Linked DNA regions of Diceros bicornis minor. The protein of the gene in region 1 interacts with the protein of each later gene in a pairwise test. Links are inferred from orthologs where the notes say so. Each region holds a gene or a part of one and is shown in the gene's direction. Other genes may lie near its edges.

Region 1 (3,744 bases):
GATGTCTCATCTTCCCAACAACCGTGGGAAGGAACAGCTGTTATGAACCTACTCTACAGATGAGGAAGCTGAGACCCACAACTTGCCCAGGGCACAGAGACAGCCAGGGAGCAGTTGCCAGGCAGCTGGCCCCAAGTCCAATGCTTTGCTCCACAAGCTGCTGTCCCCCAGAAGGGAGGTGCACAAAGCCAGAGAGAAATGAGGGACCTAACAGGATGAGAAAGCCAGACTTTGCTGGCTTAACAGTTTCACTCCAGCTGGCCCTGCCTTCCTGTCCTGAGCAGAGGTTAAAGGAAACTGCGGAGGAAAGGTCAGGCTGGGAGAGAAGCAGGAGCTCGCCAAAACAACCCACACCCTGCTCTCAATGCGCCAGGCCTGCAAACTAGGTGTAGGGGCAGCAAAGAGAAAGGAGCAGGACCGCCCTGCCCTACAAACGCTCTCAGCCCGCAGGGGAGAGGGCCCGAAAACTGCGTGGGAAATGCAGCGGGCAGGGGGCCGGAACACCGACGACGCAGGGCTGGGCCTGTGGATTCCAGGCCCTCTCTCTGCCCCAAATCCCCTCCTCCCATCGCCAGCCACACCCTGACCATCCCAGGCCCGCTCCTTCCCTCCTCTGAGCGCCTATCACACCCCTGCCCAAACCCATCGTTTAGCACTTGGCTTATTAACCCTCAGATGACTTTTTATTGTATGTCAAGGTCCACCTCCCCGACTAGATCAGAATCTCCTCTAAGGCAGAAGCTTGTCCTCCCTGTCACTGTGACATTGAGTACATTTTTGTGAAGGAAGAAGGTTATCTGAGAAGTGATCATTTCGGGCAATGCAGTGGTATGTTTAGGACAGAAGTTGGACAGCGGACCCAAGCCGCCGCCCCAGGCCTCCGCGACGTCATCGGGCTTGTGACGTCACTGTCGTTGGCCTCGGCGGCGCTCCGCAGCCTGCAGGCGGGATGACGTCACCGTCGGAACCGGTGCAGACGAGTGCGCGCTGGAAGAATCAGCGAGGCTGGCGGCTGGAGATGGCCGGGGAGGGAGCGGGTAGGGAGCGACCGACAGAAAGCAGAAGCCGAGCCGAGTCCACTCTCCCCGGGCCGCGCGCCTGCCCCACAGTACGGCCTGGCTCCGCCCCGCCCCGCCCGACGCGGGCCAGCCAATCCGGGCGGGCGGCGGACACGCGCAGCCTGTCAGCGGCGGGCTCGCGGGCGCTTCCGCGTTCGCCTACGCCGGCCTGCTCTCGGGGAGGGGGCGCGGGCGGCCGGCCGAGCGCTCGTCCACGTCCCGCCCCGCCCCGCCCCGCCCCGCCCCGCCCCGCCCCGCCCCGCCCGGCCGGCGGTCTGCAGGCCCGGGCGGCCGCTCCCAGGGGACCGATGGCTTCGGAGGGCCTGGCAGGGGCGCTGGCGGCGGTGCTGGCGGGCCGGGGCCTGCGCGTGCAGGGCTGTGACTCGGGGCCGGCCGGGGAGCCCCTGGCGCCGGCGCGGCTGCGGAAGAACGTCTGCTACGTGGTGCTGGCGGTGTTCCTCAATGAGCAGGTGAGCGTCCGCCGCCGGCCGCCGCCCGGGCCCCGCAGCGCGCAGCTCGCCGGCGGGCCAGAGGACCCCCCCCCCCCCCCCCCCCGGCCACGCCACCGCCTTCTCGTGGGTGGCGCTTCCCAGTTTTGCAAAGCACTCTCACTTACGCACACATCTTGTGAGGCCCAGCCCTGCGATTGTTCCCTTATACAGAGGAGGAAACTGAGGCCCGGAAGCCTTTTTGTCCCATCCCACTAGGCCTCAGTTCCTTGAGGGGAGGGCTGTCTTATTTTTATTCCTCTTCCTTTCCCCAGAATCTAGCGCAGTGCCCCCTGCGGAGTGGGCTCTCAAAGATCTGTCCAGTGCTTCAGAGACTCCCCTGGGTCCCATGGACAGTAATGGCACAACCCGCGCTTACGCTCAGACTTTCTGACCACCTTGTGATGCTCTTTTTGGTGCTGATCCCTGTACAAGTTGCTGGAACAACAAACAGCTAGACGGGGCCAGGGCCATAAGTAGGAGTTGTATGGGTAGGGGCTGGGGGCGCGTTCCAAAGGCTAGACCCCAGTGTGGGGACCAGCCGCAAGCAGTTTGTAAACCACGGGGGAGGTGAGAGATACACAGTGACACATGCAGACACAAATCTGTGCAGGACACATGGCAGCCTCACTGTGGGGCCTGATTCCCAGCCCCTGAAGCAGCTCCCAGGAGTCCCAGCCCCTTTCTGAGATGGAAGTCTGAATGCAAAGAGGGATGAATTGCAGAGAGAGACAGCTGCAGCTCCCAGCCACACAAGGGCCAGTCCCCTGGAGAACTCAACAATTTGAGGGTGTCCACTGGGAGGGGGTTATTGGGCGACTGTATCTGAGATACAATCCGGCCCCAGGGCAAGGGAAGGCTGCTGGCTGTGCTGCTCCTCTGGAATCCCCAGCCTGGCTGTGGTGGGGTTGAGGATCCTCTCTCTCCCCTCAGGATGAGGTGCTACTGATCCAGGAGGCCAAGAAAGAGTGCCGTGGGTCGTGGTACCTACCCGCAGGGAGAATGGAGCCCGGGGAGACCATCGTGGAGGCGCTGCAGCGGGAGGTGAAGGAGGAGGCCGGGCTGCACTGCGAGCCCCTGACATTGCTGTCTGTGGAGGAGCGGGGCACTGCCTGGATCCGCTTTGTGTTCCTCGCTCGCCCCACAGGTACGGCCCAACAGGGGGCAATTGACACCTTTCCCCCAGCATGTCTACCGGTGAGATGAGCCCCTATTCTGGCTGATAGAAGCCTGGCATCTCCAGATTCCAGCCTGAGGACTTGACTGGGCTCCCCGCTCCCCTGGGTCAGAGCTAGAATGCCTGGGTGGCATTTGCTCTGCCAGGCCCAGCACTTCTCTCAACATAGACCCTTCCCCCACCCCATGCCCCACATCTCCCCCAGGTGGAATTCTCAAAACTTCTGAGGAGGCAGATGCAGAATCCCTGCAGGCTGGCTGGTACCCACGAACCTCCCTGCCCACTCCGCTGCGGGCCCATGACATTCTGCACCTGGTAGAGCTAGCTGCCCAGTATCGCCAGCAAGCCAGGCATCCTCTTGTTCTGCCCCAAGAGCTTCCCTGCAGTCTGGTCTGCCAGCGGCTCGTGGCTACCTTTACCAGTGTCCAGACAGTGTGGGTGCTGGTGGGCACAGTGGGGATGCCTCACCTGCCCATCACTGCCTGTGGCTTCACCCCCATGGAGCAGAGAGGTGGCATCAAGATGGCTGTCCTGCGGCTGCTGCAGGAGTGTCTGACCCTGCACCACTTGGCAGTGGAGACCAAGGGGCTGCTTGGACTGCAGCACCTGGGAAAAGACCATACAGATGGCGTCTGCCTGGATGTGCTGGTGACAGTGGCTTTTCGCAATCCAGGCATCCAAAACGAGCCCCCGAAGGTGCGGGGTGAGAGCTTCTTTTGGTGGAAGGTGATGGAGGAAGACCTACAAAGCCAGCTCTTACAGAGGCTTCAGGAATCATCTGTCGTGCCAGTCAACAGATAGGAAGGTGCCGTCACTGGGCAAGGAGCTGGGCATCTGTGCTCCTCTCCGCCACGGCTTTGCCTCCCTCTGAGGAAGGCAGGAGGTTGGCAGTCAGGGATCTTGTTGCATTGGGAGCAGGGTAGTTCTCCTGGCTCTCAGGGGCACTTCCATCTCTCCTCACTGTGGAGCAGGTCCCTACATTGTACGAAAAGAGACAGTGCCTTTCACCAAGCAAGGAGTC
Region 2 (3,744 bases), on another chromosome or scaffold:
CATCTCAAGGTGCTGTAGGTCCTGGACCAGCAGCCACCCTACACCAGCCTATAACAAGAGCAGCTGAGGCTCTGGGAGAGGAAAACCAGCAAGCAGTCGGGAGGAGCACGGACCACGCTAGCCCAAGCGAACCCGAGCCTTACAAACTGGTCAGACTCAAGAGGCATGCACAAACTGGAGGAGGGGAGAGGGCATCTAGGGAGCATCAGGGGTTGGGGGGACAAGCTAAAGTCCAGAGAGGCAGGGTGGCCCCCCGAGCACGCCTTGGCAACCTGGTCGATGCCACAGGCAAGTACCGGTCCAGGTAAGAAAGGTCTGGCCTCCCGGCCCTCAGGAGCGCGCGCGAGATCGCCAGTTCAGGCCGCGGGAGGCGCCTCGGGCAGATGGAGAAGCACACGCGCCGCCACCCCCCCGCCTCACCCGGCTGCTCACCGGTGCTGTAGCCCCACGAGTCCCAGAGTGATCACATGCGGCACATCTAGCTGCGTGGGCCACTCTCCTGAGGCGATGCACCCGAACACGCCACATTCCTCTCGGATCCCCAACTCCTCCAGCTCCATGTCGCCGCCAAAAGCACGTGGAAGGACCTGCCGCTGCAGCAGGGGTCTAAGCACTAACCACCCGCCCGCTTGGCCCGAACGCCTCAGAAGCTCGCGCCCGCGAGAGCTTCTTCCTTCACAGCGGTTAGACCCTTGCTACTGCGGCGGCGCGAGCTTTGCCTGAGAGAGCGTGATTAGCTCCCCCCCATCACCCTGCCCCGCCCCCTCCGGGCCCACCAATGAGCGAGGACGGAGGGAGAGGCTCTGCGGCTGAGGGCGGAGTCTCGGATTCTGTGGGGTGGAGCTAGTCCTCCACCAGAGGCCTAGGGGAACTGATTTTTCTGCACGTGGAAATCTCCGTTATTTTCCAGAGCCTAATGCGGGGGTGATGAGACTAGCGGGGTTAACATCATTTCTCTCCCAGAAGATATAAACTTTGCGTGCCCTCCCCACAGGCTTTTCCCCGCCCGTCACTACTTGGTACGCTCCAATCTGTGACCTGCACGCGCTGCGGAAATGGGGCCCGGGTCGCGAGCTGCTGTAGAATGGGGAGGGGCTTCCAGTGCGCGCCACATTTCACCTTTCCTGCCACAGCGCCCGCGCGGGCGGGGGGAGGGTCTGCGTTGCTGCGCTTGCGCGGCGGGAAACCTAGGGGAAGCGCTCGCTGCCGGAGTGTAAGTTCCTAGGTGTCTGCGGAAAGGCCCAGGGTTGTGCCCTTGCTGTGGTGCTGGCAGAGAGCGCGGGTGGGCGCTCCGGAGGCGTGTCTGTGAGCGTCTCTGGCCACTCCTCTTTTCCAGAGTCCTGCCTCTCTTCCTAGCGCGGCCGCGGCCCCGAGCCCACGCAGGATCATGGCGACTGCTGAGGGTGAGTAACAGGCTTCCATAGGAGTACGCCGGGGCCGCCCTGTCCTCCTCGGTCTTCGCGTCCCCCGGCCTTGAGCTCGCGGGCTCGCGCGGACGGCATCCTTCCTGGGGCGGTGCTGGGTCTCCCTGCAGCGGCCCCTCTAGGCGGCGGACACGTGGCCCAGGTTCCGCCGAGAAGTGCGTTGAACAAAGCGCTCCCGGGCCTCTCCGAACTTGCTGCAACACCCACAGCTGCCCCCGGGATGGGGAAGAAGAACGAGAAATGGCCAGGGGTTGGAGAGGTGCCTGGAAATGGCGTTTGTAATCAGTAGATGTTGTAAAACAACCACAGGAACCTCTAGTGTTGACTCTTCAAACCAAGGTCTTGCTTTTCTTGTTAGGTTAATAGTAACCTGCTATTCCAGCAAGTTAATAATTGAGCCTTCCAAAAATCTTGCTGTTTTCTGTCCAGATTTTGTGTGTGTTTGTTAAAGTAATCTTTTAATGCCATGATGGCTGTGGAGAGCTCCAAAACCACCAGGCCAAAAAAGTTTTCCTTGCTTCAGTGTGCATTTATCATGTTTACTTATTTACGTAATCATTTTGTGCGTGAGTGGTCAGATCCTCGGGAACGATCATTTGTGCCATTTATGCTGATAAAACGTTTGTTTTCTCCACACACTCAATTTCTAAATTTGTGGTGAACCAAATTGCTGGTGTTGCCCAGTCAGTACGTTCTCTTCCAGGTAGAAAATTTGAATTTAGGTAAAAAATTACAGACTAAACAAAAAGCTCCAGATGATCACGAGTAACAACTCCGTAAAATCAAGGTATTAGACCAGAATTTTTCCTGCCATGCCTCTAAACTGGTAGAATCTCTGAGCTTTTGACTCTTCCATCTTACGTATTCTTGACAGGTTAATATTTCTAAGATTTCACTTTCATGGTTCCTAAATGGCACTTCCTTGCTCAAAAATGTTCAATAGCAATCTAAGTGCTGTTAAAATCCATTCTGAAGACACTTTCATTCACATCCTGCGTACTGCTTGCTTCCAACCTCTTCAGCCCTAACTTTAATTTTTCTCTCTTGTGAATCCTAAGCCTACATTCCAGTCAGGTTAATTCAACAAGTTTACTCTTCTCTATGTTTATTATACTGTTTCTTCTAGAACAGTCCTCTCTAATAGAAATATAATATGAAACTATATGTAACTTTGTTTTCTAGTAGCCACATTTTAAAATGTAAAAAGAAACAGGTGAAATTAATTTTAATGTGTTTTATTTAACCTGATATATACAAAATAGTATCATTTCAACATGTAATCAATATAAAAAATTGGAATATTTTGCATCCTTTTTTTCCATATTGCAATCCATTGTGTATTTTACACTTAACTCACATCTCAATTTGGAGTAGCCACATTTCAAGTGTTTCATAGCCACATGTGGCTAGTGGCAACCTTATTGCACAGCGCAGTCCTAGATGTTCTTACCTCTTCTGTGGAGGTTCTTTACTTTTCAAGACTCTAACATTTCAATTCCACGAATTATTCTCAGTCTTCAGCAGTCTCTTCTGAATTCATCTATGAATTTGTAGCAGGCATTTTGGCACTTGTAGCATATGTGTCCTATGATTGTTTCTTACGTTATTTCTACCCATTAATTGAAATTCCTACCCTATTTATCAACTACATAATAAATATTGATTCAATTAAATAGGGAGAGAGGGGCAGGAGGTACAAACTTTCATTTGCCTTTTATCTAACCTAGGCAACATCCTTAACTCTTTCTTCTCTCTCTTTTTTTTTTTTTTTGGTGAGAAAGATCAGCCCTGACCTAACATCCATACCAATCCACCTCTTTTTGCTGAGGAAGACTGGCCCTGGGCTAACTTCCGTGCCCATCTTCCTCCACTTTATATGGGACGCCGCCACAGCGTGGCCTGACAAGCGGTGAATCCGTGGGCGTCTGGGATCCAAACCTGGGCCACCAGCAGCGGAGCGCACACGCTTAACCGCTGGGCCACGGGATCTGCCCCCAACTCTTCCCTCTCTGTTATCCTCCATATTGAATCAATTGTTCTTAAAATGTTTACCTTTTAAATATCTTGAATCTTTTGCCACTGCTTTTTACTTAGACCAGGACATTTCTTGCCTTGATTGCTGCAATAGCATGCTAACTGCTCTCAGTCTCTAGTTTTCTTCCACCCACCCCTTCCTTATTTCATTCTCCGCATAGCACTCATAATGATCTTTTTAACACAGAAATCGGTCATTTTACTAAAGTGCTCAGAAGTCACATGGAGAAAGTCTGAACTCAGTCAACATGCTTATGAGGCCTGAAGGATGAGTATTGAAATGGGA

The links.
Region 2: the proteins of NUDT18 (region 1) and PAICS interact in binary tests that used the Homo sapiens proteins (3 or more experiments, as listed by UniProt). The two-hybrid records come from large-scale screens. The link is inferred for Diceros bicornis minor from reciprocal best matches to the Homo sapiens genes NUDT18 and PAICS.

What each region holds. Positions count from the first base shown.
Region 1 is NC_080750.1:71,746,471-71,750,214, forward strand, and holds the start of NUDT18 (8-oxo-dGDP phosphatase NUDT18), read left to right. Parts: upstream 1-1,355; 5' UTR 1,356-1,366; coding exon 1,367-1,528; intron 1,529-2,479; coding exon 2,480-2,693; intron 2,694-2,928; coding exon 2,929-3,524; 3' UTR 3,525-3,744. UniProt on the Homo sapiens protein: Mediates the hydrolysis of oxidized nucleoside diphosphate derivatives. Hydrolyzes 8-oxo-7,8-dihydroguanine (8-oxo-Gua)-containing deoxyribo- and ribonucleoside diphosphates to the monophosphates. Hydrolyzes 8-oxo-dGDP and 8-oxo-GDP with the same efficiencies.
Region 2 is NC_080747.1:44,044,453-44,048,196, forward strand, and holds the start of PAICS (bifunctional phosphoribosylaminoimidazole carboxylase/phosphoribosylaminoimidazole succinocarboxamide synthetase), read left to right. Parts: upstream 1-947; 5' UTR 948-1,019; intron 1,020-1,336; 5' UTR 1,337-1,387; coding exon 1,388-1,403; intron 1,404-3,744. Other genes in the region: PPAT (amidophosphoribosyltransferase), read right to left, coding at 433-560. UniProt on the Homo sapiens protein: Bifunctional phosphoribosylaminoimidazole carboxylase and phosphoribosylaminoimidazole succinocarboxamide synthetase catalyzing two reactions of the de novo purine biosynthetic pathway.